Linked DNA regions of Struthio camelus. The protein of the gene in region 1 interacts with the protein of each later gene in a pairwise test. Links are inferred from orthologs where the notes say so. Each region holds a gene or a part of one and is shown in the gene's direction. Other genes may lie near its edges.

Region 1 (7,221 bases):
TCGAGGCTCGTGGCGTAACGGCATCGCCGCGGCCGAGCCTCGGGAGCCCGCCGTCTCGGCGGGAGCTGCTGTAGCCCAGCTGTGCGCGGGGGCTACAGGAAATGAAACGCAGAGTAGCCGCGTAGTGGGGTTGAGATCCTACTTGCCCGGGGATTTGCTTCGTTAGGCGCTGGCAGTAATTAGGGGCTCGCCCGCCTGCGCCAGGAGGTTGGCGTGCCTCGGAGAGGCCGGAGCACAGCGGCGTTCCCGAATTAACGCAGCGCTTAATCCGGAGCTGCCGGCGGGGGGCTGCGCGGAGGAGAGCGGTGTTGCAGCTGGGGAGCGGGTGCGCCTCGGCGGAAAGGGCACCAAGTGCGAGAGGGTCTGAGCCAGGCTGACCGTCAGCACAAAGAGTTCATAGTGCTCCCCGCGGCCGGACAAACGGCCCTGAGAAACACCCAAAACCTGGAGGCAGAGCTGGACGATGCGACTGCCCTGGATCTGCAAAACCAGGCTAAGAGTTTCCGCAAATCCAGCTTGCGGTAAGCCACAGCGAGTGGCCTCTGGCTGGCCCCTAAAATCTTGTTAAACGGTGACACTGATTGTGCTCTCAGGTGAGGATCGGGTCTGCGAGAGACTCTCAGGGCTGGCACTGATTGCTGGTCCCCAAATTTTGGCAGCAACTGCTCTCATCTAATGTCTATATACAGATTGTGCTAACCAGAGCAGGGACATCGCTTTCCCTTTGTAGACGAGCTCCGAGTTTTTTCCCTGGTCCTGAAATAGAAGAGGTAGTGCTGGTTGCTGAGCCTGGGCCTTGGAAAGACAGGGGCAGAGGAAATGGAAGTCCTTCACATCAAAGGCTGAACATCCAAAAAAGTTTCGATTTAGGACTCAATGCAAGCAGCAATGAGCAGCCTGGCCAGCAGTCAGTAGTTCTTTTCGCTCAGTAGCGCTTCTCCTCCAAAGAGCCTTACAAACAGCAGCGAAAAGGGCTTCCTCGGCCCCCTGCAATGCAAAGAAGCATCATCACCTCCACCTTAAAACGAGCGGCCTGACACCGAGCGCTGCGGTGATTTCCTCAGCCTGCCTCGTGCCTTGGTGCCAGAGCTGGAGCAGAGGCCCGATAAGGTTGTGACTCCTGCTTAAAACACACCAGTTTCCATTGGAGACCAGTGATTCAGGTCCCGCTTTGCTTGTCAACCCCGGGAGCTGGTAGTACTGGAGCAAGGCTCGGCCACGGGAGCAGGGGCGTCTCTTGCCTCCTGCCTATAGGGCTGATTTCAGGCCTCCTCAATCCTCTGCTCTGGCGTCTCTCCTGCTCTTGGTTCACTTAAGACTCAAAACAGGGGTTTTATGACGTGGTGCCGGTGCGTGACCTCAAGGCAGTCGCAGGAAAACTCGTGGTATTTGTACGGCGCCGTGGGCCCATGCCGCCGGAGGTAGCAATCTCTGGGAAAACGTTTCTGAGCCGTTCTTGGCTGGGGTGGGCAGCCTCGCTCACGAAGCCGATGTCCCCGTGGAAAACAAAGCATGAGCATGAGCAATGGGAAGTGGGTCACCGCAAGGTTTGTCCTATAGGAAACACACTGGAAAGCCCTTCTCAGAAGTAGAGCGCTGAGATGAACGCAAAGGAGGACAGTCGCTGCGAGGCCGGGAGAGCATCCCTGATGGGAGGCCGTTCAAAGGCTGCGTGCATGAGACTCTTCGTGCCAGGGAGATGACGGGGGACTGCGCCAAAGACCTGCTAGCACAGAAGTTACGGCCTGAACGCCTTGGTGCTGGTCCAAAAGGACTGAGCTAAATCAGGGAACTGGTTCAGAGTTTGCAAAAGCCGCTCTTTGTTGGCCCTTCTGCCTTATTTACCAGGCGGCCAAGCCTGTGGCCAGGAGCCTACGGCAGAGGTGTGCGGATCTGTGATTTCGAGGTGCTCTTGGTGTTGGCTGTGTGGGTTTGTGTTTATTCAGCCCAGCGCTGATTGCAAAGTGATGGAAAGAAACAATGTAAGGGATTTCCCGCAGCACTCAGTTCCTGCGCTGGGCTTTATTTCTGCGCCCGGTAAAGTCAATGGGACGTTTGCAGCTGACGTCAATGCAAAATGCTCAGTGTGTTGTGAAAAGTTTCTTCTGAGTTGCCAAGTCAAAAATGATACTTTATTTTAATAAGTCCTACAGTCGTTAATGGTTTTCATAAAGCTCCTGCTCCTGGAGTCGTGTGCATATAAAGTAATTGCATTTTTCAGATATTTTCTAGACCTTTCTCGTTGTAGAGGAAAACGTGATCTGAGCGTTCCCTTTCAGCCCTAGGCTTTGAGGTAAATAAGCCCTCAAGAGTTATTTGTTTTGAATCTCATGATTTTCAAGAGGCCCATGATTGTTGAGTGTTTGGGGTTAGCTACGCTGAGCAAACATCCTGAACGTGGGCTCCTGACCCCGCTTTGAGTGTTTTGCTTTTCGGACCCAGAAGGTTCCCAGGAGAGGAGAAAGGAAACTGGCTGGCTATTTTTAAACCCTTGCAGTTGGCTTCCTGCTTTATATTATTTATTATCCATTATCAGAAGTGTTTCTGCCCTGAAACAGTCTTTAGTGGTCAACCAAGGGACCAGTGAAAATTACCCATCAAATAGAGCTGCCTCTTTCAGGAGAGAGGTCAAACAAAACTAGAGGGGTTTTTTAGGGTTTTGCCAACTGAAAGCAATTAGTGCTTTTCTATATTATGCGGGCTGTGGTCGTGCCAAGCAATTCCAGTTGTGGGCCATAATTTCATTGCCCGGGGTGCTAAACACAGACGAAAAGCAGCCCCTGTCCCAAAGACCTCGCAGTCCGGAGAGGCAATGCCGATTTCCTCTAGAAATCAGGCGGCGGCTCTGATTTCTGCATTACTGGATTACATGAGGCACGCGGCCGGACTCGTTTTAAAGCGCGTCTTGCACTATTACGTGGTTTCCACAGAAGGAGTAAATGAGCCTAAGGGCGCCTCGGTGCGGAGTGTCGTCATCTCCGTCCGGCAGCTGTCAGCGCGGCAGGCTCGAGCGCTTTGAGCAGCGCTGCGTGGTGAGCTGGGGCCAGCATCACCTCCAAGAGATTATCCCTTGGGATGTTCTGGAGGGAATATCCCTGGTCCCCACGGGAGCTGCCTGGGGCAGCGCAAGGCCCTGGGTGCAGGCTGGGTCGGTGGAAGTCCCCGTGTCCCTTTGCTGCCCAGACAAGTGGGGACAACAGCCCACAATGTCCTCGTTCATCCTCCTGGCCTGGTAGATGGTCAAGTTTAGACTGTTGCATTCGTCACGGCTTTGTTAATCCTTTCCTGCCCGGGCGGGAGCTGCAGGCGCCGTGCCCTGCCGGAGCTGGACGGGCGTAGCAGCCCGGCGCCGCGCTCTCGTAGCGAGCAGAGCTGCGGGGCTGGAGGGCCCCGGCAGCGTGCTGTTATTTCAGCTGGGGGGAGAGCTGCGGCGTAAAAGCCTGGTTTCTGGTGGTGTCGGCAGCGACTGCCTGGCCCCTGTGCGACGGTTTGTCGGGGCGTGCGAGGAGGGAGGGAAGGCGAAAAGCTGGGGAGGGCGAGAGCGTGCTGCGCTCGGCCTGGAGGAGCGATGAACGACCACCAGTTTTGCCTGTTTCTCTTTGCCTCAAAGTTACGCTACGTGGTTTCGGCATCTGCTTGGAGGCTCAGAGCCTCTTTAAATTAGGATCCGCCACCCCGCTGTCGCCCTGGCCGCGTCTCTTCTCCGGCGTGCCCGCTGCGCCGTTCGCAGGTGCTCCGAGACCTCGCCTCCCCGCTGCTGCGGCCCGTCGGGGAAGGGGTCAGAGCCTGCTGCCGGCGCTGGCGCTGCCTCAGCCCGGCGCGTCCCCTCCTCTCCGCCCCGGGGGCCGCAGCTGTGGCCGGCCGGGGGCTGTGCGGGGCCGTGAACCCGCCCGGCACCGCTGGGGGCTCAGCTCGGGTGACTCGGTGGAAGCTGTCTGTCCAGCCTTGCACATGTGCTGTTAATATTCATACACTTGCATTTAATACTTTTTTTTTTTTTGGGGGGGGGGGGGGAGCCTCGGTGAGCGGCCGGGCGAGGCGCTGTGCAAGTCCCAAGCTCGCGTAGAGCTCGTCTTCCAGGAGCGTTTGGCAGCTCGTGCTGTCGCCGGGGCAGCTGCCCTCGGTGCGGCCGCGGGGGGGCCCCCGACGGCAGCGCCGCGGCCGAGGGGGCCGGGCCGGGCGGGGGCGGGGGCGGAGGGCGGCGATCCGCTGCCGGGTTTTGCAGCCCTCGGCGGCTCCGTGGCGGCCCCGCGGGGACATCAGGGCTGCTGGGCGGCGGCGGGGATGCGGCGGCGCTGCCCATGGTGAGCCGCCGCCGGGCCGCGCCGCACCATGCCGCGGCGCCCGCCCCCGAGAAGATGTTCGAGGGCTGCCGGCGGGCGCGGAGCCTCTGGGGCGGCGTGAGGCTGGAGGTGGCCGGCGAGCGCAGCCCCGTGGTGCTGCACAGCTTCACGCAGCTGGACCCCGACCTGCCCCCGCTGGAGGTGAGCGCGATGGGGGCTCACTGCTGCGATGAGTTCGGGGAGGGGGGGGGCTCAGCCCGCTGGAGGGTGGGTGCCCGGAGCGGCCGCCGGCACGCGTCCCCGTCTAGTTTGGGGGCTCTGCCTCGCTGGCAGCTTGGCCAAAACCAGCCCGGAGTTAGGGAAGGGGGTGGCTGTGGTAGCCTGGTACACGTGTTGTTGTTTTGTTTTATTTGCTGAATAAATACGTGCCCCTGCTGGGTCTTTTTGCTGCGTGTGGCTGTGCCATTAACTGGCAGGCAGGCTGCCGAACTGGGCGCTCTCCCTGGAGATGAACAGGGGGAGAGGGGCAGGTTGCTAAAATCAAGGTCTTTTATTTTAATATTTTATTTTATTTTTTAATTAAAGCTTAAGCTTTTAATATTTTTATGGCTTGCTGCTCGAGGTGGGAGTCAGCTCAGATCCCGGTTGCTTGTAAAGGCAAAAGGCTTGTCCAAAGAAGCCACATAATCGTCCTCTAGGAAGGTTGTGGGCACCAGTAGGACTCTGCTGGAGGATGCAAAATGTCTGTGCTCCTCTGGATTCGACCCTGGGTGGGTCAGTGCCGGACTGGCCTCTTGGGGGTCTCAAACAGAGCAGTTGGTTGTTGGCAATTACGAGCGGAGAAGGGGACACGGGCACCAGAATACTCTGAGTCAGAGCTGTGGGTTTTTTTCCTAGCAATAGATGATCATCCTCGGCCTGCCAAGAATGTCATCAATTCTGAGCAAACAGCACGTTAGGAGACGCTCAGCTGGAGGAAGGTTTTGGCATTCGGAGGTGGTGCCTTTCAGGGCAACACTGGAGCCCTGCGAGCTTCGCTGCACAGCCGGGCAGCGTCGCAGGGGTTAACAGCAGCACGGGGCAGCGAGCCTGGTTTTGTTGGGATTTAGAGCCAGCTGCAGATGTGCTTCTCCACTCTGGATACTTCTTGCTGGAGGGAGGGGGGGGAGTCACCACTAAAACCTTTTGAGTTACTGCACAGATATCCGGGGAGGGAAGCCAGCATTTACATGGGTGATGGCTCTTTCTCCTGGTGCTAAATGATCTACCCTGTTACCTATGGTGGAAAGTCTTGGTCAGCCATGGACAGGAAGGAATTATCTCAGGCTGCGGCAGTACCGGTTCACCTCTGGCTCTGCTGGCTGGTGGTGGCAGGGGCTCATCAGCTCTGCAGAGAGTTCATGAAAGCGCCATCCAGCTTATTTTTCCCCCCTCGTCTCCCCCTGCTTCTCTCTCCTGGGGGTGGGTGTACTGACATTGTTTGGAGTACATCATCTGGTTCTTGTTATGTCTGGCAGGAAGTCCAGCCTCTCCATCCCTCAGCGCTCCGGGAGGCTGCCTGGGCCGCGCTTTTGGCAAGGAGAGCAGGAGAAATGGGGAGGAGAGAGGAAAAGAGGGGGTGATTCAGCTTGCTGCACTCCTCGACCCAGGGAAAAGGGCTGCTGAGCATGCACAAGCCTCTTTGCACCCTGGTCGGAGGAGGCCCTTGAGTTCAGGAGTGGGTTTGGCTGCATCTCGGGAGGTGGGGGGCTGCAAAGGCAAAGTTACAGGCCTCCAGACCAGGGAGAAAGCGGCTTTGCATTCCCCCCAGTTGGCACCAAGCAAGCCCCTGCTTGTCTGAGGACCTGGTGGAGCACGGGGTCTGCCCTGCAGACCTCCTCTGCAGTCCTCCTTGCCCAGATTTCTTCTCTGTGCTGTAGCACCCTGCCTTCCTTTGGTTGCGCGTAGAAGCGTGTTGCTTAATGGTCAGAGCACAGCCCAGGCATCAGATTGCCTGTATTCTCCTCCCTACGCGGAATATCTCTACGTCTGCAGACAGGTTACTCCTTTCTCTGCCATCTGTTCACAAAAGGCACCTCCCAAAGGGGACTGTGGTGACCGACTCACTACCGAACAGCGCTGAGATGCTCCAAAAGCCGCTGACCTCTGGCATGCTCCCATATGAGGACCTCCACGTTGCTCATTAGGCCATGCCGGCGTTCGTTTTGCTCGCTGTCATTACAAAGCGCAACTGGGGAAAGGCCCACTGAAAGGAAAAAATAAGAGGGACCGTGTTGTTGTGACACCTTCCCTGGCACCAGCCTCACGTGGTTGTAATCCCGGGGTAAAGTTACTCTGCAAGATTTACCCTGGGAGAAGAAGGCTGATTATTTGAATAAGAAAACCCCCACAGCCTGTCAGTGTTTTCCTAACCTCCGCTCACAGCCTTGCTCTAAGCACCCCGGAGCGCTAACTCCAGACCTGAGGTGAGAGCCTGGGGGCTGCCGCCTCCTGCCAACGCAGCACAAGGCTGCGGCTGCCTCGTCCTTGCTAGGATTTGGTCGCTAGTGTGTTCACCAACATCTGTTTCCAAAGGGAGGACTGGGCTAAAGGCGGTTGTGCCTCCTGGCTTGAGCTTGTCCTTTGGGACAGAGCTGTTTTTGGTGGACCTGTGCCAACTTATGTGGTTGACAGCCTGGTCCCACAGGGATCGGAGGATCCCTGGAAAGCTGCCCATCGGGTTATGGGGAATACGTAACTCGTTGTCCTCGTCTCCTCAGCTGAACGCCTGCTGGTGTCTGTAGCGCAACCATTGCTATATCCCACAGCAACGTTTCTGATGCCATCTCCAAGGCGTCGGCTCGAGGTGTCTGTTCTAGCTCTCTTACAGCCGCCTGTCGCTAAGCGTTCTTGCACCAAAAGCCCTTTGTAATCGCACGATGATTTTAACTGTGATGAA
Region 2 (8,002 bases), on another chromosome or scaffold:
TTTGTTGTTTTCTATTTTTACCTGGCCAGCACAAGAAGAGGCAAACTTGCTTTCTGCTTAGGCCGTTAGATTTTCACGGCAGCTTGGCAAGACTGCTCAGGTAGTTCTCCGTTTTGCAAATTTCTGCATTTACAAGTGGGCTGGGGGGAGGAATGAAAGATTAGTAGCTGAAGAAGAGTCCCGTGATACGGGAATTGCAGGTAATGCATCCTCCAATTTTCCTTACCAGAAAAGAATGGAGTTCCCAACTGAAAGCAAAATGACTGTAGAGCTATTGGGGGATTATTATTGTCTTTTGAGTCTCCAGGTTGCTGCCATGTAAATTATACAGGCCTTCCCATCTGACATTCATTGGAGTTTACATTTTGGCATCCTGCTTTACCAGACTCGAGATGCATAGAGAATTGCAGGTATGTTTTAATTCAACTCCATACCCTCCCAACGAGGGAGACTAATATTTCCATCCCTATGCTATAGGGAAAGGTGGCAGTAACATGCCATGTTAGTGGCCCAGCCAAGAAAGGGAGCCAAGCTGCCACAGTCCAGTCCCTGGCTGCCCTCTATTAGACTTCATTGCCTTCTAGAATTAGGAATAAAACACAGGAGGCCCAATTCAGTACTGTCTTTCTGCATAGTTGGACACCTCCAACACCATTTACTGCTGGTTAGATCCTCCCAGAACAGGTAACATCTCCCGTATGTTTCACAAACGGTTCCTGGCGCAAGGGAAGCAAGTTCACTGAGTCTTCTATTTTGTGATCCCAGTTTCTGAAAAAAATTCTCTCTCCCACCAAAAAATAAATATAGCACACTGCTTGGAAGAAAATCTCTGCCATGAATAGACTGGCTGTGCAGTGGGGAGATGCATGGATAACATTGCTTGAAAGACTCTCAAATATAGCTCTGCAACCAATACCTGTGATTAAAAAGTGAGAGAGAGGTACACAAGTTAACTTCTCGGCTCATTTTAACTCACTTGGGGACAATTCCTTGCCAGCTGCCTGATCTCATAGCAAATGCCAGGCTGTTACACTTTTGCACAAGTAAATTCTTGAATTGCCTGTAGAAAAATCAGCCTGCTATGTTGCCATTAGCCTAAAGAATGGGAACTCCTATGTATGATAATAAGCAGTTGCCTGACATACCTGAGAAGCAGGAATTGTGTGTGTGTGGTTTTTTTTTTTTAAATGCTTCCTTCCCCAGCAAGGTTCAGGCTTTTATGATATTTATAAAAACCACTGAAACAGAAACAAGTATCAGTCTCTACCTTTCTCCCTACTCTGTGCTATCACAAACACCAGACAGACACCAGACACTTCTGGTGTGCTTTCAATTTAGGACAGCATTCAGGAAGCTGCCTAAGAAGTCTCTATCTCCCTTTCAGAGAGATCAGTAAAAGTCACAGAGGAAGAAGGCCCAGGATCTTTTGTACTTCTGATAAAGGGAATCCCATTCCTGCCTCCTCATCTGTTCTGTAATCTCTGTGCTCATAGGTGAAGACAGTCTTTGTTGAGGCTGAAACCTGGAAGTACTTCAGCATCTGCAGCAACCACTTGGGATTTAGCCTTTCCTGTGTTTTCAGGAAACTTCAATGATATCAGCTGAGTCAGGAGAAGACAGTGGCAGAGAGAAGTGCTTGCTCTTCTGGGCTCTAACTCTGACCTCCAGAGCTAGCCCAGGTCTTACCTTAGGAAGCCAGTTAGACCTTAAACAGAGCATTGCCTTGGGTCCAGCCTTCCCTCCCCAATTTCCACACCTTCCAGCGTATCTGGATAATTATCCAGTAGCTTCACCCAGCCTGACAGCAGGCACAGAAAAAATGGGTTTGCGGCAACCTGAGGATGAATGATTTTTTTTCAGCAGAGGAGCCTGTTTGGTCCTGCCTATCTGCTCTGATAATAGGCTCACAGCTTTGGAGCTCACCTGCCTCCACAGAATTTGTCGAACGCTGGTATGTTTTAAGCTGTCCTTCGTGGTCTGAACCCTGGCAGGGACGCTGCATCCTCTAGAGCATTGCATCATGATGTTGCACGGCCTGGTGACGTGAGACAAAGCGCATGCTCAGTGACCCCTGTATCCACGTTATCAGTGAAAGAAATTACTGTCGTTACAGTGCCAGTAGTTGTTGGCATGCACTGTTAATATTACAATTGTCATTATTCCTGATGATACATTGTAATCTAAACTGTAAAGAAAATATTATGTTTCCACTTCAAAAGCTCATGTTGAGCTTTTGTAATGAATATTTTTCTGATTCTTTCATGACTATCCTTTCTTCATTATCACACAGTGTTTGGAAAGGACAAATTCCTGTTTTGTGCGGTTTACAAAGTTCAGTCAATCAGAACATGATCCTTATGAAGTCAGCACCTTTGCATTTAATAACAGCAATGTATTATGAGTCTGCACAGTGTCAAATACACTTGCATTTAAACGTACTGTTGATGTGTTTTACTGAGCTGACTTCTGTTCTCTAGTCTTGTGATTCTATCAGCTAGGAATCCAGGCTCATTATGAGATTGCACATTGTTTCTGGATTTCATTAAATGAGCAAATGGGTATTAGCTAGCTATTTGCATCAGCTGAACTTGTGATAATTTATCCAATTGGGCAATTGTTATTTTGGAAAAAAGTGTCCTGAGGGATTATGACTCATTTTCATCTGTCTATATGAACCTCGGTATAACCCCTAGAACTCAGCAGCACATCCAGGCAAAGAATGTCAATCCTATTGCAGTTGCTGGGAATAACCATGTTTTCTACCCAGTCTTTCACTGCGGCCACATAACACAAAAAGTGAAGCACTGGTATAATTTAATGATATCAATGGATTTAGAGCAGGGACTTCAGAAAAGATATGTTATGCATCAACATTTTTTTTAAAAGAGTAGAAAGGTCAAGATAATTTGCAATTTTTTTATAAAACTGCAATGTTAAGGATCTTTTTGTGCTCAATATATAAAGAGTTGTACCCTGTAGATGACAGGATATAGAGGGCTTAATTCTTTGCTTTTTTTCCTTGTGGTGTTGCTGAGGCTGTGTGGAGTAGAAATCCACTGTTTTGGGATGTTAGCACTTCTTACCCACTTTAAGCAGACGTAAGCGATGACATCAGTAGTAATGTAGAAACATACAGATCCTGGAGAATCTCCTTTCTGTTTCACTAGTTCAAGTCTAGTTTAAGCTATTCCTGACACTTGGCAAGAGGTGGCCAGTTACCAGACCTGGTGGTCAGTGATATCTCCTGAAATGATAGTATTTTTTCTTGTTTAGAAAACACACTGAAGGAGAGGCAAGGTGTGGAAAGTGTAGATGCAAGACTTAATAACACTGAGTTGACAGTTTCAATTTCTTTGCTAAAGAGCAAGCACCATTACACAGGAGAAGTGCAGTAACATAGCACTGTGAATCAGGCACATTCATAGCACTAACTATACATGAATTCATAGCATATAGAATTAGGCCCCGTCTATATAAGTCTGTCTATGGGAGCCGTATCTGTTCTGTTAATGGAAAAAGGTGGCATGCAGGGCTATAAGAAATGAAGATCCAGATCTATTCCCTGCAGAAACTGGTAGGAAAATTCCCACTGACTGCAGTTGAACTTGGATCTTTCTTCATCCTTTGCCTTCCTTTTTAATGCATTACTTCATAGCCAAGGTTCACATTCATCCAGATCTAATTTCATGTACGTGCAAAGTCTGATTAAGTGATAAATGTTTTCAGCTTGCATCTAAATCTGTAGAAAACTGGAGGAGGGGCGGGGGGAATCAACTGTCCTAGAACAGGCATTAAGTAGGTCCTTTATTTTGCTGAATCAGGCGCTGAGTGTGTCTGGATGCTGTAGATGCATTGATATTTGAGACAAAGTTTTATTAAACCTTTAGTTTTAAAGGAAACCTGCAAGCAAAATGTACTCTTCTGATAAAGCCTGGCAGAATGCTTATATACCTTCAAGTATATTAAGCCCCTTAAGGATGTAAGCAGGATCTTCTCATGCAACTCCTATCCACAGGAGTGAATTTTTATTGACTTGCAGCTTTCACAACTATTGACTTACAGTTTCAAAACTGATTTTTTTTTGAATCAGTTACTACTGATTTTTTTTGTCTTTGCATGTTTTCTGGATACAGCCTCTTAATTTTAACAATATACAGCCAGTCATTTGCTGCCTAAGTTTAGAGTCAACAATAAAACTGCAATTCTGAAGCAACCAAAGATGTTCAGCAATCAGCTTTAGGTATCCTTAAAGGCATGTGATCCATCCACATAAAATGCCTCCCTGCAAAAGGAGGGATTTTGAACAATGCTACTGAGGTTGACAAGTCTGAGTTCTGCCAAACCTAATGGAGAAAGCAAATGTGGAAATCCCTCCACTGAGACTAACCTGCCTCCAGCTATACAAATTAAGAAATAGTGATTTACTTGCTTTCTTCCAGCATGGTGGTCCCCAGGGAAAGAAATACCCTGCTAGGACCTGAGCCATAAAGAACTGGGATTTACAGATCAATATCAGCATCCATGATTTATACCTGGAAGCAAAATTCTTCTGCACTGTAGATCTCTCCTGCACTCACAAGCACAGCGGGAGTGCTATTTTCTCTGATTAGAGTAGAGGATGAGAGCTGGGATTCTTAGTTGTACTCATCTCTTGGCCACTGACTTGCTAGGCGTTTTGGATAAGTCATTTAATCTGTCTCTGTTTCCCCATCTGTGAAGGAAATAATATTTCTTATTAATACAAATAATACTTAGCTTTTTCCCCTTTGGATGAAAGGCAATGTGAATGCAAAAAATGTTTTATACTCAAGCTGCCAGCAAGTCTGAACAAGAGCAACGTAATGAAGAGAGTCTTTGGGAAGGAGCACAGCAAATTCTCCTGTTTTAGCCTCTTGCAGCTGCTGCAGGAGCTTTGCCGTTACCTCTCGCAACAGCTCGGAGTCCTTTGTCCCCCGCCTAACCTTGAGCTCGTCCGGAGGCGGTGGCTGCAGCCCTCGTTGTGTCCCCGGGTTACGCAGTGGGCAGACGCCGTGCTTGCGGACGGATGGAGTATCCCTCTGCGTTTTAAGCCATACTCACCGAGCACCATGCGTTCAAATCACGGAAACGACCGCAGCTCTTATGGCGCGTTTACATGATTTTTTTTTCTTTTTTTTTAATTAGCACAAACTTCTGTTTTGTAGAAATTTAAGTGCTGATGTTGGCTTTTCTTGACTAGGTGGTTGACAGCCGGGTTGTTCACGCTAGAGCCAGGGCAGGAGTCCCCCCGATCGCAGGCGAGGAGACGCCGCTCGGTCGGCCCCGACGCTGCACCAACGGCTGCCGTCGCCCCCAAACGCGGAGTGACACAAGGACAACGCGGAGACGCGCGGTTTCCTCTTTCCTCCCTTCGTCTTCGGTTCTCCTCGGCTGCAGGTCTCCTGTTAGGTATATTTTTACTTTGATCCTATGGGGTTGTTAAGGCTTTATTTATCAGTTTGTTTTTTAAAAATAAGTACGTAGCTAATAAATGCCGCGTCTCAAGGTGCGTTTTGGCGACTGAAAACACGACGAAAAGGGGGGAAGCTCCGTCCCGGGGGGGGGGGGGGGTCTCCCGCCAGGCACCAGCGGCCCGGCTCCCTCCCCGTGCGGACGGGACGCGCCGCTGTGCCCCGATGAAGGGCAAGAAACGCTCCCGGCCGCGTTACCGGCCTCGGCCGCCTACCGGGAGCGCCGCCAGCCCGCCGAGCCGCGCGGCAGCTCCGGCCGCCGCCGCCGCGTTACCTCAGCGCGGCTCCGGCCGCCGCTGCTGCGGGGGGGGGGGGGGGGGGCGGGGGGCGGTGTCATGGCGGCGCCCCGTCACGGGCGGCCCCGCCCCGCCCGGGCCCCGCCGGCTCCTCGCTAGGCCGCTGCCGCTGAGGGCGGAGCGGGCGCGCTGCCCCCGCCGCGCGCAGCAGCCCCGAGCGCCGAGGCGGAGCGGAGCGGCCCGGGTGAGCGGGGCGGCAGCGGGGGCTGCGGCTGGCGGCAGGGCCGGCGCCGGGCTGTCACGGCGGGCCGGGCCGGGCTGACATCCATCTTGTGGCGGGGCGGCGGCGGCGGGGGGGGGGGGGCGCGGGGCGGCGGGCGTCGCCGCGGGGGCAGTGAGAGGCGGCCTGGCCGGGGAGTCGCCCCGGCGGCCGCTCCGCTCGGGAAGCAGCCCAAACCGCGGTGTTTTGCGCCCAGTCCGCTGTGCCCCCCCCCCCCCCCCCCCCGGGGAGCCGAGGGGACGCCGAGGGCGGCGTGAGGGAAGCCCGAGAGCGGCGCTCGGGGCGAGGCCGCCGCGGCCGGGCTCCGCGCTGCGTTTCGGGAGCCTTCTCGCTGCTCGGCCCTCGCCGTCCCCACGCGTGAGGCAAAGCCGGGGCGGAGGCAGGTCCGGAAGGGCCCGTTTTGGGGGGGGGGCACCGCGGTTTAAGTTTTGGCAAGGGGCTTTTGGGACACGGGCCGCCGGCAGCGGCGAGGAGCAGGTCGTCGCGGCCTCCCAGACCGCTTCCAGCTCGGAAACGGCTTCTTGTTTCTGTTTTTCTGTCCAGGGGATGTTTTTCTGTGTAGACACCGTCTTTGCTGGCGTTATTTTAACTGCCGGAGCGGTGTTTTGGGTTGGAAGGCTGCTCTGCCGCCTTGTCAGCCGGCGGGTTGGGATTTTGGAGGCGGCCAGAAGTTGGTGCTGGCTGACAGAGCTGAGGAAGGGACTTTGGGGGGGGGGGTTTGCTTTGGTCACAACTTGGAAAGAGCTGCCCACAAAAAGGACAAATCATGAAAACTCTGTGTCCCCCCCCCCCCCCCAATAACTCGCTAAGGGAGACGATATTTCCTGGAATAGTTGCTTTTTCCATTTGCAGAGGCCCGTCGCCTGCGGAGGGTTATGATACCCCGACGCCTTTTCTGTTGCGGTTGCTTTTTTTTGGTTTGGCGTGCGTAGCAGTAGCATGCAAAGCGAAAAGGGGCACCGCATCCTTTGAACGGTTAAACCGAGGAAACACGCTGTTAACTGAGAGTCGCAGTCCTTACTGCGAAGCTCTTCACGGTTTTGATGAGGAGTTGTTGTTCTTTCTTAATGAAACGGTATGTCGTTAATTCTCACCGAAAGCTATTTAATGTGGAATTCCTGAAACCTCTAGGCAGTAATGAGTCGAGCCCTCGTGAAGTTGAAAATGCCGCATTGCTACTCAAGGTCTGAACCTTTCGTAAGAAGCTAGCAGAAGTGAGGTAATTTAGAGGGAAGTTTGGCGTGGAGCACCCTTGCCTTTGTGATATCTGCAACGTTTTTAATTTTGAGAAGTAGTGTAGTTCACCATGGCTGAAGTAGGAAAAACTTTCTGATTATTCTGACATCATTATCGTGTTGCTATAGTGACTTCATTACGCTGGGAATGCCGTGTTCATATCCTGTTGCTATGGAAAAGATCAGTGTTATAAATAAAAATAGTTAAGGTTCTCCTACCACAGTTGTGGTAGGAGAAAATGCCATCAATTTATTGACGCGATTGCCTGAAGACTGACAACATATCTCAACAAAAATTTTCAGTGCTAAATTATAAGCTAGGGAGTTACCGTTTCTGATTCTCAGCAGCTTGTCACTTCATTCTCTCTGTTGCATTGGATAGCAGAAGTCGTGAAATCCTAGCTTTAGAAGTCAAAATGAGAACATGTATGTAGTTCTTTAAGGTGGAGGTGACCGGAAGTGAATTACAGTGCTCCCATATTCTGATTCTAAAAATAATCTATTTTCATGCGTAGTATTTTCTACTGATCATGCACCAGGACAAGAGGAATATTTGTGTTCAGTTAAACTAAGATCATCCACAGAAAAGTGAGTTACACATCTTAAAAGCAGGTATTTCCTATGTCCGTTACAAAGTTAGTAACTATGTACAGTGCAAAAAAGAAAAAAAAACTTTGATGGCATTTAGTAGGCCCAAATGGTATTAGGAGACCAAGAGTTATAATTCTGAAGTTTCAAATGAAATAAAAGCAGTATATTTAA
Region 3 (7,307 bases), on another chromosome or scaffold:
CAGCTTGTATCAGTCACAAGTTTCTTCTCTTTACCTCTAAGCCCCTGACTAATCAGCCTTTCTTAGGTTAGCTGATGTCCAAATCAGCTGCTGCTTCCTCTTCTCATACTTCAGTCATGTACTTCACAGACCTGTCTATATTGCCTAGTAGAGGAGAGAATCTCTGTATAAAGATCTGGGCAACTGCTAACTTGCTCATTCTCCCCTTCTTTCAGCTCTGTTTTGCCTCAGAATTGCACCTGGACCCTAGCATGTGTGCCTAGTCCCTTCCCGTGCTCATGGACCTGCTTTCACTTAGGAGTATAAAGAAAGGAGGTCATAATAACAGAATTGTGTATGCATCATTATTTGTTTATATATTGTATCCTCATCTTCATTTCTTTATTCATGCTTCTGTAAACTCCTTGTTTCCTGAAACCAGGGCTCAAAGGGTGCTCTTGTGGGGGGAGACAATACTCAGTCTCTCGAGGCTCTAGGTGCAGAAAGTAGAGAGATTAGCACTTGCGGGGACTAGTTCTGCCCCCGCTGCTCTCACGCTCCTCCGGAGGCCTCAGCTTCTCTCCATGTACTGCATAGGGAATGTAAGACAACTGTTTCCGTTATAGAAAATTACTATTACACATAGGTTTTTGAACACCCAAGATTTAGGCTGCAACTTCTCTGTGCTAGGGACTCTCTCTTTACCTATATTTATACAACACCCAACACAAAGACAACACAACTCTTACTGGGATCTTTGGATACAGTTATAAACCACAGTAAAATGCTGCTTAGTTATTGCTGTCCGTGTCTTGCTGTTTTGTGATCGCTGCCTTGTGTTTTGCAAGAATATCACTTTATTTGTGAAACCGGATTTCATTACCAAAACAACAAGTGCAAAGAATTGTAACAGTAATAAGTCTGTTTTAAAGATTTTAAGGTATTCTTGTGGAATTCACAAGGTTGGGTGGCCACATCGGCAAGAATAGCTATTTAAAGGATGTATAATGAAATTGAAACATAAAAAAAGACAAGGGAAAGTATAAATGTTTGTTTTCTATATATCTGTAAACTAAAGAATTCAAATATTCTGTTGCAGTAGTTTTTACAGAGATTAATATGTTATTAGAAATCTAATAGCTATGAATATGCTTTTCAATGAATATGCTTTTCATGTTAGTTCAGTCTCAGTTCCAGAGAGTATAGTTTACTGGTTACAGTACTAATAGCCAATTGTGAAATCTTACCTGTAATTTTTTTTTTTTTAGACCTAATGCTTGATAAACTAGCAGCAACTCGACTTTGTATATCCTTTCTCTTCATAGTAAACTTCATACTTTGGATTTTTGTAAATTAGAGAACATAATTAAGAATGAGAATAACTATTCTTCTGGCTTAATACTTAAACAGGTCTCTGTTCCTGACAGTGGCTACTAACTTAGGGGGAGTACAAGAACTAGGGCATGCAGAAAGTAACTTATTTCTCATAGCAAACCTATCTCCTGACTGTCAGTGTCTTAGAAACTTCCTGAATCAAAACTGTGTCCCTGATCACTTTGTGTAATACCTGCTCCATGACTTGGTCTACTCCTGCTGTCAGCTCAGATACAATTTTGTCTTCCCCAACGCATTGTGGCAGTGAGTTCCACAATTCCATAATTTTTTCCACTGCAGAAAATAATCCTTTTTGTTTATTTAAACTTGTTTCTTCATACTATCTCTGGGTTTCCCTTAATTCTCCTGTTATGAAACTTTATTCAACTTCTCTGTGCTGCTTAGGACTTTGTAGATCTCTATTTTCCTCTCACTTTTCTCCTTTCCAAGCTAGAGAATCCTAGGATATTTAATCTCTCCCTTGGAAGCTGTTCCTTATTTCTGATCAGCCAGGGCAGGGAGGAAAGAGATGTGCAAAAGGGGCTAATAATGACAGGAGTGTACTAAACTCCTGAGGGTCCTGAGTCCTAATATTCCTCTCCCAAAATATAGTTGTGAATCCTGGTGGCAAAGCATCTCTCTCATCTCCCTCTCCTACAGTTACCCCATTGACGCACAAGGTATTGGTTTGTGTCTTCCATGCGTCAAATATTCCTCCGCTCCAGATGCAGAAGGGGTGTTCACAGAGGTTATTCATTATGTCCTTTTTGTTTGTACACTTCCGTTTTTTAAGGAAAGGAATGCAGTGTAAGAGTTACAAAGTTCAGCTTGCCAAATTAGGAAATGATAGAATTAAGATTACTTGTACCTCATTGATTTACCCATTTGTGCAGATGGTATCGTGTTAGCTCTTAATTAGCTCCACAATATATGTTATTTTTCCATGGATTTCTGAGTTACTCACTGCATCAAATGGATAGTGCTGTGGGAACGAACCAGATGCGTAGAGAAGACGACTCCTGCCTATAGGACCCTTGCCTCATCTGTTGCAGAGCTGAAATGCATGTCAATTGCAGAAAGTCAGGTTTTTTGAGGTGAATAAGTTGAATGACACCTGGATTGCTATCCCTGCAAATCACTTTAGCAAAGCTTTTGTACATGGCCACTAATTCTGTTTTCCTTATTTTCTAGGTGAGAGGAGGAGTGTGTCTACACTACAAAATTTTGTTGGCGTGTCTATGCTGTTGAGGAATGTGATCACAACTGATTGTCATTCTGTGCTGACAAGAGGCTGCTCATATATGTAAGCGCTTGATTTTGCTTCTCCCTTTTAAAAGGGAGAAGGGGAAGAAGGAATTTCCTGAAATCAGGTATGCTGCCAAAATTCTGCTTCACTGTTATAAGCAAAGTGTATGCCACCTCTATTCATGGGTGGCTCCAAAACCAGTTGATCCAGCTGTCCCAGGTCAGATATACTGGGGATGCTCAACATAAGCCAGTCTGTGTATAACAGGTCTAATGTGATCTGGAACACTGAACTCATGAAACCTGTATAGAGCAATTTGACACTGCCTGTGCAGTAGCCATCTGCTTAGTGTTTTGGATGTCCAGAAACATGTCAGACAGTAGATTATTACCCAAATCAGTAGGGCAGTAGGTCATCACTGAAAGCAGTAGTTTACTGTAGCAGAGGTAGTAGAGAGACAGAGGACCAAATTTACCACAAAATGTTCTCCGTGTAGATATTGTCTAATATGCCTATTTCATGTCCAAACTGAACACATGGAGATATCTGCGCTAGCTTCTCTGCAGCTACGTTGTGAAGTATAGGCATATCCTTAGAGTCTGCAATAAGGAATGTATATGATGTATGAGGCTGATACTGCGTAAGAGAAAGGATAGCTTGTGCTTAAGCTGGTTGAACATTGCGTGGGGGAACTGGATCCCCTCCCTGCTGCTGCCCCAGAGCTCCTGTGGGATGTTAATGAATTCCCAGAAGCCAGCGTTTTCAGAGGTGATCCATCATTGTGCCTTACCTCGTTTTCTGGATATTTGACTTGCAGCGCTGGTGGCTCACTTGCAAGAGATGAGCGCTCCCGGCAGCAGCTGCACGCAGAGGGCTCCGACCACATGCACATGATGTGTCCTAGGCCGCGACACCCAGAGGTGGGTGATGCGGGGGAAGAATGTAGCCTTCATCTAAATGGTCTAAATGATCAAGAAGCCCGTTCGTGTGCACGGGCACAGGCGTATTCGCCACACAGCAGGGTGAGGCTTTGGCTGGTGGTGGCGGCGGCTACTGAAAAGTGGGGGAGGGCTGAGGTCTCCCTGCACTTACTTTCCCTCGCAGTAGATCCGTGCCTGACACTCATGATGTTTTGGCACTCTGTCTTGGTTCATCATCTCTGCTTTAGGGGTAACAATACCTCTCTCTCACGGGTATTCACGGTAAGTTCATTAACGCTTACGAAGCACTCAGTATCGTAAAGGACAAGTTGCCACAGTGAAGCCCATGAGGAAATGAACCGTTGTCTATTTGTGGGTGGTGGGGAGTAGATAACGCGCTCTGCCGTGCCCGCCGCAGTTAGGAGCGTGAACCCAGCCGCGAACAGCCGGCCGCGCCGGGGCCAGCGTCGGGCCCGGGCGAGCCCGAACCCCCGGCCGCCCCGCGCCGCCGCCGCCGCCGCCGCCGCCTCCTTCCCGGCGGGGCGGGGCCGGGCCGGGCCGGGCCGCTCACTCCCATCCTGAGGAGCGGCCCCGCCCCCGGCGGCCATTAGCGGGCGCCGCCCCCTGCCGCGCCCCGCCTGCGCGCTGCGGCACGGCACGGCACGGCTCGGCTCGGCACGGCTCGGCACGGCACGGCACGGCACGGCGCGGCGGGCGCAGCCGGCGGCTGGGCGCACACACTCCCTCCCGCGGGGCGCGGCGGCGGCAGGGAGGCGGCCAGCCGGCCCCGGCCCCGGCGGCGGCGCTGCCGCGCTCGGCGCGGCCCGGCTCGGCTCCCCCATGGCCGCGGGCTGCAGGGACGGCCCGGGGCAGGAGAAGTACCGGCTGGTGGTGGTGGGCGGCGGCGGCGTGGGCAAGTCGGCGCTCACCATCCAGTTCATACAGGTGAGGGGCCGGCGGGGCGCGGGCCGGCCCTGCCGGCGGCGGCGGCGGCGGCGGCGGCGGGGCCTGGGCGCTGGCGGCGGCTCGAGGCGGGGCGGCGGCGCTGCCCCTCGCTGCGCAGGAGGCCCGGCCCGGCCCCGGGCGGCGGCGGCGGCGACGCCGCGACCTTGAGGGGCCCCGGCGGGGGGCGGGGCCGGCGGCGCCCGGGCCGAGCAGCGCTGCCGGGTGCGGGGCTGCGCCGGGCCCGCCGCCGCCGCCGCCGCCGAAGCCGCCGCCCGCCCTGCCCTGCCCTGCCCGAGCGGCGCCGCTGCTCAGCTGCCCGCCCCGCCCCGGGCCGGGGGCTTCAGTCAGACCCTCGGTGCGGCTTGGTGAGCGGTGTCGGAGGGGAGCGCGCCGGGCCGGTGCCGTCCCGGTCCGTCTCTGTACGGCCTCGCTGAGGAGGCTCTTGCGGGCGTCTTATGGCTGAATAAGAGAAATATCTGCAAACCTGCAGAGCACGCTGTGCCAGCTCTCTGAACGCCTCTGCATCTGAATTATTGTTCTCGATGCGGGCTTAACCTTCTAAATAATTAATTTTTTTTTCTGTTGACTTCCACTATAGGGAAAAATGACAGGAAAGGTGAGGTAAATTGTACATAACAGTCTTATGAGGCAAGGTCCTTTTGCTCTTCTGCTCTCTTAATTCAGCAGCACCCCTGTTACTTACCTTTCCCTTCTGTACTGTCGCTTTTAGCATTGCTGCTGCTGCCGTGGGAGTATTATTAATCTGTCTCTTTGTGGTGGATGGAGGAGACCACTATTTGTGTTCTGTTTGTTGGTATTGTTGATAACAAAGTAACAAATCTGGAGAGAATGACTTTTTTCTGTTTACTTTTTAGTTCCTCTGAGGAGAGATCTTGATACTCAGCCTACCCTTAAGATAGGTTGTCAGACATCAAGACAAATCATTGCCTTTTAGCACTTAGGGCAATGATATTTTCAGGGGACGTTCTGTGAGGGCAGCTGATCTGGTTGAAAATAGACTCACTTTTTTATTTCAGAAGCTCTTTTCTAATCCTTATGTTCATTAGCTGTTATGTTCTGGTGAGAATTTAGGCTCTGCAGCATAGACTAAACAACTGCATGTAAAACTGCTTTCAAAATGTGGGTATTAGATAACTGAATGCTTAGAAAATGCAGTATATCCTGTAGGACGTTCCAATAACTGACACTTTAAGAGAGTCAGTTCTTGAAAAATTATTTAGAGGTGTTTGTTTGAGATGGAATGGAAGTATTTGTTACACTTGGGGCGTGTAGATAGCTAGCTGATCAGGTACCCTATTTAAGATATTGAGTCTCTGCAAATCTCAGTCCTGTAAGATATTGACTGGCTGGTCTTTTTGGAGGGATAGGACTAGAATAACTCACAGTTCTCCCGCTGTCTTGATTGAGTTCTTCCTTGCTTGTACAGGCGGATAATTAATTTCAGTGGTTGATTGAAGCTGAGGTTTAGAGTGCCTTTCATACTTAAATACATTATTATTGCTTTAGATGGTATTGCCTGCGTGTTCTTGTGGGCATCTAACTAATTCTGACAATAATATGTGCAGCTGAACATGACCTAACTTCACTTTTGAAGTGGTGCTGTCTTGGAAAACATTGCTGAGTGGATTTGTGAATAGTCCTTGGCTATGTTAAAAGCTTTTGAACAACTTTAACTTGACAGCTGGCTATCAAGCTATTGATATGGGCTATCAGCTACAGTGAACTTCCATAGGAGGAGTGATGCTTTCAGTACTCTCAGCTTTACAAGGTGGAATATTAGACTACTGGCTGTTTGGAAAAGACAATATTTTAAAATATTGACTGTTACAATGTCTGATGGAAGGTACTTATATTTGGATAGGTCTTGAAATCAATGAACTGTTTCATTACTGATTTTTGAAGGTAGAAAAATAAAGATGCTGTCATTTCTATTAAAGACATGAGAAAAAAAAAGTGAAGTCCGCATACTGCCTTGGTGCTTTCATTTACTTTAACAGCAGTAAGATTCTGCAGTATATTGGATCATTTTAGTGTTTCAGCACCTGTAGAAATTTGTTCTTTAAATAACCAATAGCTTGGGCTACATCCCTATAGAAATAAAAGTTTTGGTTCAAGTGCTGCAACTGATGCTTGTCTTTCGGACAAGATCTGCAAGCAAGGAACTTCCGTCTGTTTTGTCACCTGTAAGGATCTCTTCAATTTAATAGCAGAAAAAAAAATAGTTTAGTTTTAAAGAATAATCAGCAAACAACGCTGTAGCATTCAGCTGAGGTGTTGAGGATGAATTATTCAAAATAACTTATTGTCAGTTTGTATTAAATCATCTACATCTTTTTGCCCTTTGCTCCTTAATGTTGAGATAAAATCTTGCTACCACAAAGTGATCTTCAGCAGACAACTCAACCTTCTAAACAGGGAGGGAGGAAAAAAAAAAATCTGGGAATTAAATGCCTTTTGAGCACAGCCTCAGATGCTGTAGAGGAAAGTTTTGTCTCATTTCAATACTTGCTATGTAGTTATGGATAACAAGAGATGAGGCTTGGTGGAAATTCATATACCACCGTATCTTCCTGAGCTCTTAATGTTTATGATGTTATCAAGTGTGTGTGCTGTGCAAGTTCTGCCACGCAATCACCTCTGTAGCTTCTGTGCAGCAAGCATATGGCTGAGTATGTTTGTCTTTTAAAACTGCATAGGAACTGCTGCAGATTGTTTTAAAATTGATTACAAGCAAGCCACGTGCTTCATTTTTGAGATTTCTTTGGCTTAAGTAACAAACTCGGAGAGCTGCCTTCCTTAAAACATGGATCAGTACTAGATTT
Region 4 (7,914 bases), on another chromosome or scaffold:
GTTTCTTTTTGGTACCCTAAAGGCATAGGTGCAATGGGATGGTGAACCTCCAGTGCATCTGAAGCTCTCCTTTTCTCCCTGAAAGACATTCTTCAGTCCCTTGAGAAAATCTGCAGTGTTGAATAACAGAATGTAAGTACCTAATTGCTTGATTTAGAGAGGCAAGTTGGACACCCCACTGATTTTCCAAACATTTCTGGGCTTAATCTGAACGAATCCCATTAACTTCAGTGGGCTTTGGCTGATTTCCTATATACACAAAACTTGAAAAATTATGCTTTAAAAGAAATACCAGAGTTAAACTGGGAACTCTTAACAATTCTTTTTGTATTTTAATTTAGTGGTTGTATGCTGACAATATAATTAGGGAGATGCTATGTTAATTAATGCCAGATGACATTGGTGGGATGGCAAAAGCATCCAGCTTTCTAAAGAATACTTCAGAGCTGAACCGTTCCTCCACCCCATTTTTAGCAGAGAAACATATTCAAAATAAAAAGTCAGAGACAGCTGAATTAAACCAAAAGTCAAACCATTTATGAATACCGGTAACATGCTGTATCTTAACGCATTACTTTCAAGCCAAATCTACTGTTATTGAAGAAAAATATATTAAGCCTGGTTCCTTGGAGTCTACATGGAAAAAAAAAAAAAAGATTTGAATGGCCTTGCACTAGTCTCCTGTTTAAGCTGTGTAGAGGGCAGCTTAGCTGCCATTCAAGCTAAAGGAGTAGAACCTTGTTTTGTACTTTATATGGCTAAGCATTTGAAAGTAATTTTCAGTTTAAGGCCTGTGGATTTCTTGGGGTCCATTACCTAATTTTAAAAGGAATTGCAGACAGCAACAAGGAAAAAAATGTTCACATAAGGTGTGCGTCTATGTATGCTATGTTCATATGCCATGTGAGTCCGTATATGCTAGACTTCAATCTGTAAATGTAAAATTACTAAAGAGAGCCATACCACCAAAGGAAATTTGATGGAAGACCAAAATTAAACACACATGAAAAGTATTGCTTTGATTTTAACATAAAATAACATTTAAAATTACATTTATCAATCTATCTATCAATGGATACAAATGTTCCTGTATTTAAGTTCATTGTATTCTTCCCAACATGGAGTTCATTACCATCTCTCTCTTCTAGACCCTGCCTTGACTAGAGTTAGTGAATTAAAAGTCTGGGGAATAAGGCTGTGTTCTGCTGTGTCAATAGACACAAATTGGTAAGGGCATTTACACTGCTCTAGGTAAGACTTTAAAAAAAAAAAAAAAAATTCTTCTGTAGGTTGCCTTATCAAGGATAGGGCAGCATAGCTAAGTCTGTAGGACTTCCTTAAAAGTCTAAAAATTGTCTTGGGAGGAGATAAGGAAAAGGTAGTGACTGAAGGCTAATATATTCCAAATGCCATGGATCCCATGCTGTTCATGGGTGACATATGGGACCTTGTACTAGAGCAAAATATAAACTCACACAGTTGGGTCAAAGGTGTTCAAAAAACGTCATGTAAACACTTTGTATTTGCAGGCTTTATGCTGAATCTGGCATAAAATGTTGTATTGCTAGCCTAAAAGCATGAAACCACCCTTAGCCCCAGTATTGTGGTTTCTGGCTAAATGAACTGAAATATAATCACGTGCTTGTGCTGACCGGGACCAAATGTATAAACGGTGGTTATTCGACAAAGCATACCTGACAACAGGTAGCAATGGCTGCAGACCCTTGGCCTCTCTGTGTGTGACAGAAAAATTCTCTTATGCTAATATTTTAAATTAATGGCATGCAATCTTTAAACTGTACAAACCCACTTCTCCCCCTGTAGTGATTCTCCATTGCCTTTGCATCTGCTTTGCATGTAGTTAAATGCCAGCAAAAGCACCAGGAAAATTAACTTCTGTCTCAGCTTGTTAACAGAGATAGTCAGACAGGGAAATCTTATTGTTTATCTTGAGGCTGGAGCTGTGTATCACTTTTCCACCACCACCCCGGATTCCTGGCAGTCAGGTGGTAAATGCTCATATATTCTGAAATTTAAAATGTCTTTGACTTTATTGTATAAAGTATAGGACTAGATAAGTCTGAGTAGGGTGAATATGTGGCTGATGGGATTATACCTGCATTTGGGTCTAGTGCTTGATATCATAAGGGAAGCATCTTGTCAGAATAAGGAGCTCTGACCAGCGATTTGTCCTGAGAGCCTTCGAAGATCAGTATCCATGAAGGACCAGATAATCCAGACGGGAATATTTTAATGCAAATGTGAAGAGGCCTTTGAATTTATGAATATGCTTTAACTTAATAAAAGTATTTAGCTCTAGTACCCTGAAGTGTTTTGGGATTTGAGTAAGTGTGTCTGTTTTGCTTATGTTCTGCATTCTCTGTGCAAATTGCCCTGTAGAAACAATCACTAAAATGAAGTGGGTAACACATAGGAGACACTAGCAAAATCTAGGAGGTTTTGCATCACTTGCGCTGACTTTTCAAGGGCTTTCATATCAATGCAGTGTATAGGTTGGTACTTTATATATTTCAATCAGCTCTTTTATTTCTGCTTCTTTTCAAACCACTTTACCCAGCAGGTATCTCTTCTAAGAGAAATTTAGTTAAGACAAACAGCAAGTTCATAATAACAGACATTTAGAAACAAATCTGCATTCAACAAAAAAACAAGCTTTGCATTCAACTTTTTCCAGCTTCCCAACAATTCATTTCCCCCTCAAACTCTTTGCAGAATGATAGTTTTTGTATTTCACTGAGATAGTACAAAACATGGAAATTCAAGCTGTAATCAAGACCTGAAGTTTTCACAGAGAAGGATCCACCCAAGTCTCTCTGGATACTTTTCTGATTCCAACTGTGACTGTGTGGGTTTAAGGATGAACAGCTTCTACCCATACAAAGCTCTGTAGATCAGAGCAAACCATTGAAGTTGTTTGTGCAACACCAGTACTAAGTGCAGAACTGGGCAAGCTTTCCTGTTACACAGGCATTTTCCCATTGCCTTATGATGAACCACAACACTTCAAGTAGTTTTCCTAAGGGGGTATAACACAAAAGTGAGATCCTGCTATCCTAAAACAGCTGATCAAGGCATTTACCTCGGTTGCTGAACATCCGCATTCAAATCCTTTCTTTGCCTGTTTCACACCACAGATTGGAATGTGGGTTTCCCACATCCCAAGCTTGTGGTTTTACCACCCGGCTACTCGTTCTTTGAAAGTGGGGCTTTCTTCTGGTTTTGGCAACTGCTCATGTGAGATTGCTTATGAAGTGAGCTATCTGTATCATTCAGCTTTAATTCTGATTTGTGAGATGATTTTGCATGCTACACTTATGTGCCTTTTTGTGACTTTGTTTCTCATCAGCCTTAATAAAAAAATCTAGTAAGAGCATTTAACACAAAAAGGACCAGGTCACTAACACTCAAATCACTGGGAGAGGATAAAAGCTTTCCAAATTCTTTTTTTTTTTTTTTTTTGCATTTCATGACAATATATAGCCTCCTGTTGCATATAAGAATCCTTACACAAGCTCCAAGCTCCCATAGCAGTCCGTAGGACTTGTGTCACTGATTTCAGTGACAGAAAAGACTGGCTTCAAGAATACAAGGAAAAGAGCTCCTCTGATCTTTCCTAGGCTCTGTTTGAAGAGATATTTTCACACAGCTGCTCAAAAACATGTTTGTTTTCCACCCGGGTCTTCATACCTGAGCATCAGGGAGTAGCATTGAACAGCAACACAGGGTCTTTGGCTTATTTGCATGAATTAATCACAGGAACACAGCTTTTAAATTAGATGGCATTGTCCCAAAGGGTTAATGCCTTACATGCTCAGATGGATGCTGCCCAAAAGCGCAGTGCCTTGGATGCACACTGAGAATGAAAGAAGCTGCAAGTTCTGTCACACACAATTATGGAGAACAAAGCTCCAGCCTTTGAAATTAAAACTCTTGAACACCAGATGTGTAGACACAATATATTTATTTTTGACTTTCCAATTTAAGAGGGAAAACAGAACTGGCCAAACTAATCCCTGGTGTAATCCAGTCGACATCACTGGAGTTACCCTAGGAATAAGCTTGGATTCTTAGACCTGATGACATAAATATTTCAAAAAATTTCATAGCACTTATGACCATATAACACAAGCTTAGAAATGACCTATGCAGTATACCCAATTAGAGGGAACTGAGTTTTTGGCCTTTTAATGAGAAAGTAGGCTTTGCGGTACAATTGTTACCTTGCCTCTAATAGTACGCTGATTAACTGTTGTGCAGAGCACCCAGGCAATTAATAAAAGCCTTTTGTTTAATTGTGAAAATTATTAACCTTAATACCGAAATTATTAAAACTGCAATGGGCATTTAAGTTTTACGGTAATTCTGCATTTCTGCTTTTGTGACCTTTTCTTGACCCGTAAGGATAAACCCTATTCTTCTTGTTTACACAGGGAGCCTCTCACGCTCCACCTTGCCAAACAGCCAGCGCAGCCTCCTGACTAGGAACCGGTATAAAGCCTTACGGGGGCACTAAAGCCCCTCTTCCTACGCCCCGAGCGATGCGGCAGCGGGTGCCTTTGGGCTGAGGGCAGGGCCGCGGCCGTTGGGACGGCTGGGGAGGCGGCCCGGGCCGCCGCTGCCTGCCCGGCAGGCTGACGGTCCGCGTGCCCCCGCCGCGAGGAAGCAGCAAACACTGAAATTACGCTTATTTCCCTCCCCTACGCGGCGCCTCCCCCCTCCTCCGTCGCCGCCGCCGCGCGAGTGACCGTTGCCACCCGCGCGAGTGACCGTTGCCGCACCCCTCCCTCCCTGCCTCCCCGCCCCGCCTGAGTCAGTGGGCGGGGAGCTCCCCTTCCCCTTCTCCTCCCTCGGCTGCCGCAGGGGCGGGGGAGCGCCGAGCGCGTCGATCGCATCCATCCACCCACTCGGCGCTCGGCTCCCTCGGCAGCTCCCAGCCCCAGCCCTCCCCGTCCCCCGCCATTTCAGACCGGGACGGAGAGGGACGCGGAGCGGTCCGCCGCGGCGGGGCGGGCAGGGGCACGGGCACGGGCACACCGGCGTGCTCCCGCGGCCCGCACAGCGCCAGGCAGGTACCGCCTATCCCCCTCCTTTCACCGCCTTAGCCGCCCCGCTCGCTGCTTCCTCCCCCTCCCCCCCCCGCTTTCCCCCAAGGTGGGGCAGGGGGAAGTCGGCGGCGGTTTACCGGAGCCGGGCACCCCCTCCCCCGCCCCCCACGGCCGGAGATGCTCGCCCCGGCGCGACCCCCTCCCCCAGCGCCGCCCACCTCTGCGAGGGCAGAGCCGGGCGGGGGCCGCCGCGCCGCCTCCCCGCGCGTGTCCCGCCGCCGCCGCCGCGGGGGCTGCGCCCTGCGCCGCTTCCTTCCCCCGCCGGCATCGCCGCCGCCCCGCGTCCCCCCCCCCCCCACCTCCGGCAGCCCGCGCCTCCCCCGCGCCGCTTCCCTTCCCCGCGGTGCGGGAGGAGGGGGCGGCGGGACAGGTGGCCAACGCCCTCCGGGAGCCCCGGCACCGGCTGCCTCTGCTCAGTCAACCGCCGCCCGCGAAACCCCTCCCTCTTTCCTACTCGTTTCCTTCCCCCCACTCAAAATCCTGAAAATCCCGTGCGCCGGCGGCGCGGAAAGTTTTGGCCGCCTCGGCCGCGTCGCCTCGCTCCGAGAGGGGAACCGTGGTGGGGCGGCCCCCAGGCGGGCAGGAGGGCGGCGGGCGGCCCCTGCTGGCCCGGCCCGGCCCGACCCGGCCCCGGTGGGGGGACGCGTCCGCGGAGGGCAGCTCGTCAGGTGAGCCCGCCCGGCCCGGCCTTTAAAGTACTCGTGTTCCCGTCTTTGGGGTGGCCGCGGGGACAGATCGGCAGGGGTGCTCAGTGCTGGTCGGTTCCGATTTAAAAAAAATTTAAAAAAAAAAAAAATCAGGGAAGTCTGCCAGAATTCGTGGAACTTCAGAAGGGAAACCGAGCAGAAAATGAAGCCTTTATTCTACAGAAAATACTCTTTAACCACTTTTCAGAAATTAATGTAACTTTATAGGTTTTTTTTTTTTTAGGCAGCTTTTTGTAATCGCTGCCTTTCAGCTTCATGTATGCGCCACAGTTATTAAGAATTTTTTTTTTTTTTGAAAAGTAGCATCCCCTCTTAGCCTTTGAGTGTGTGTGTGCACATGTGGCTTTTTGTTTGTTTTTCTGATTTTTTTTTTTTTTTGGAAGAGGGAGAATTTGCTTCCCTGCAATAGTAAAGGAATACGATAGTGAATGAAAATGCAGTAACAGCATTCTCTTTTGTTGGAGCTTGACCCTTTCTGCTTAATGTTGGTTTCTTTGTCATCAGGTCTGCTAAAAAATGACAGAATATAAGCTTGTTGTCGTTGGAGCTGGTGGTGTAGGCAAGAGCGCCTTGACGATACAGCTAATTCAAAATCACTTTGTGGATGAATATGACCCTACAATAGAGGTAAACAGCTCCATCCTACACTCTTTATGATGAGAAATTATCAGTAAATAATGGTGATTGACGACCTTTAGACAATTACCCCAAAAACATCATAGGAAAAAGCTTTATATGGAAAAAGTCTCAGACATAAAGTCTGAGACATTAGAGAGCAAACTAGAGTACAGAGCTAATATTAGAGAGCAAATCAGAGTACTTTTGGATCTGGCAGTGGAACAAAAGCTGCAGTAAATACTTAACAATATTGATCAGTTAAAATGTGGTGTTAGTTGCCATATCTTATTGGGCAGTTTGAATACATGTTTTTATGATTTTAGTAACAATGTTATTCGTCAAACTTGCTTAAAAATGCCTGTCAAAACTGATTTTGCATGCAACCTACAAATGTCTTAAATGTGACTCTCCTTTTTGATCTCAAGTAGGAGAAGCTGTAGTCCTGAAATGTACCTGTCAAGCTTTCTCAGCTCTTATCATTAGGATCTGTTTCACAGGGTGAGAAATGTGTTCTGGAATGCTATGGTGAATGAGACAAAATCTGGAGCCTGGCTTTTTTTTTTTTTTTTTATTTTAACATGCCAGTAGGTGTTGCTGTATATCTAGAAAAATGTTATAAGGTAGCTGCTGTAGTGGATTCTTTGAAATACATGATGCAGTTCTTCAAAACTTGAAACTATATTTAAGCTTCAAAAGTTATGCTGTTTAAAAGCTTTTTTTATGAGCAGGCAAGCTTTGCCTTCTAAATACAAGAAAAATACTAGTGTTGTCCGAAGTCTCCTGTGGATCATTGGATTTAATAACCTCAGACTCTGTATAAAAGGAGAAATGACACTATAATTTACCCAAGATTTTTATGTTCCCAGTACTGAAGCTCTGTAGCTTATGACTTCATTTATATGTTTATACAATGAGGTGCTTCCAAGCTCACTTGAAGGAATCACAGAGGTTTAAATCTAGGCTTAAATGGTGACTCAGGGAATGGCTATGCAGCCTTTTTCAGGTAGACATAAGTGAAAGGAGTCTATGCTCTGAAATGGTAGGAAGCTGTGTTATTTCAGTGAAGTAAAGACCTGAGTTAACATGCCCCTGTGAGAGCTACCTTTGCTTGAGTTTGGGATTACCTTCATGGGGCTGTGTCTTCTTGTCTGCTTGCTGAATGGCCAGATAATATCATGTATGCTGGTAGAAGACTCTGTGAACAGAGCCTTAGAGAGAGGGGGAGTGTTTAACTTGTACTAGAAGAGCAGCTCTTTTGTTAATTAAGATATGTGAGATTTTAAAAACAACAATCCAGAACACACTTAAATCACGTTCTGTCTTTCCCTCTCAGTGAGTTTTCCTCACTCTTGTAAAAGGAGCTTTGGGGGATGCTGGCTTTTGTAATATCTATTCTTAATCATCTGGGCAGGTTTCGGTTAGATGAGAGGTGTATTTACACTTTACAATAAGTACTATGGATA

The links.
Region 2: the proteins of RALGDS (region 1) and RAP1A interact in a two-hybrid assay, tested with the Homo sapiens proteins (3 studies listed by BioGRID and IntAct). The link is inferred for Struthio camelus from reciprocal best matches to the Homo sapiens genes RALGDS and RAP1A.
Region 3: the proteins of RALGDS (region 1) and RRAS2 interact in a two-hybrid assay, tested with the Homo sapiens proteins (2 studies listed by BioGRID and IntAct). The link is inferred for Struthio camelus from reciprocal best matches to the Homo sapiens genes RALGDS and RRAS2.
Region 4: the proteins of RALGDS (region 1) and KRAS interact in a two-hybrid assay, tested with the Homo sapiens proteins (3 studies listed by BioGRID and IntAct). The link is inferred for Struthio camelus from reciprocal best matches to the Homo sapiens genes RALGDS and KRAS.

What each region holds. Positions count from the first base shown.
Region 1 is NC_090961.1:5,247,776-5,254,996, forward strand, and holds the start of RALGDS (ral guanine nucleotide dissociation stimulator), read left to right. Parts: upstream 1-4,209; 5' UTR 4,210-4,301; coding exon 4,302-4,484; intron 4,485-7,221. UniProt on the Homo sapiens protein: Functions as a guanine nucleotide exchange factor (GEF) activating either RalA or RalB GTPases and plays an important role in intracellular transport. Interacts and acts as an effector molecule for R-Ras, H-Ras, K-Ras, and Rap.
Region 2 is NC_090965.1:8,960,510-8,968,511, forward strand, and holds the start of RAP1A (ras-related protein Rap-1A), read left to right. Parts: upstream 1-4,989; 5' UTR 4,990-5,124; intron 5,125-5,218; 5' UTR 5,219-5,427; intron 5,428-5,836; exon of another isoform or gene 5,837-5,969; intron 5,970-6,104; exon of another isoform or gene 6,105-6,388; intron 6,389-6,862; exon of another isoform or gene 6,863-7,080; intron 7,081-7,141; exon of another isoform or gene 7,142-7,224; intron 7,225-8,002. UniProt on the Homo sapiens protein: Counteracts the mitogenic function of Ras, at least partly because it can interact with Ras GAPs and RAF in a competitive manner. Together with ITGB1BP1, regulates KRIT1 localization to microtubules and membranes.
Region 3 is NC_090946.1:22,248,123-22,255,429, forward strand, and holds the start of RRAS2 (ras-related protein R-Ras2), read left to right. Parts: upstream 1-4,306; 5' UTR 4,307-4,359; coding exon 4,360-4,464; intron 4,465-4,818; exon of another isoform or gene 4,819-5,068; coding exon of another isoform or gene 5,069-5,080; intron 5,081-7,307. UniProt on the Homo sapiens protein: GTP-binding protein with GTPase activity, involved in the regulation of MAPK signaling pathway and thereby controlling multiple cellular processes. Regulates craniofacial development.
Region 4 is NC_090942.1:76,287,854-76,295,767, reverse strand, and holds the start of KRAS (GTPase KRas), read left to right. Parts: upstream 1-4,910; 5' UTR 4,911-5,090; intron 5,091-6,337; 5' UTR 6,338-6,349; coding exon 6,350-6,460; intron 6,461-7,914. UniProt on the Homo sapiens protein: Ras proteins bind GDP/GTP and possess intrinsic GTPase activity. Plays an important role in the regulation of cell proliferation.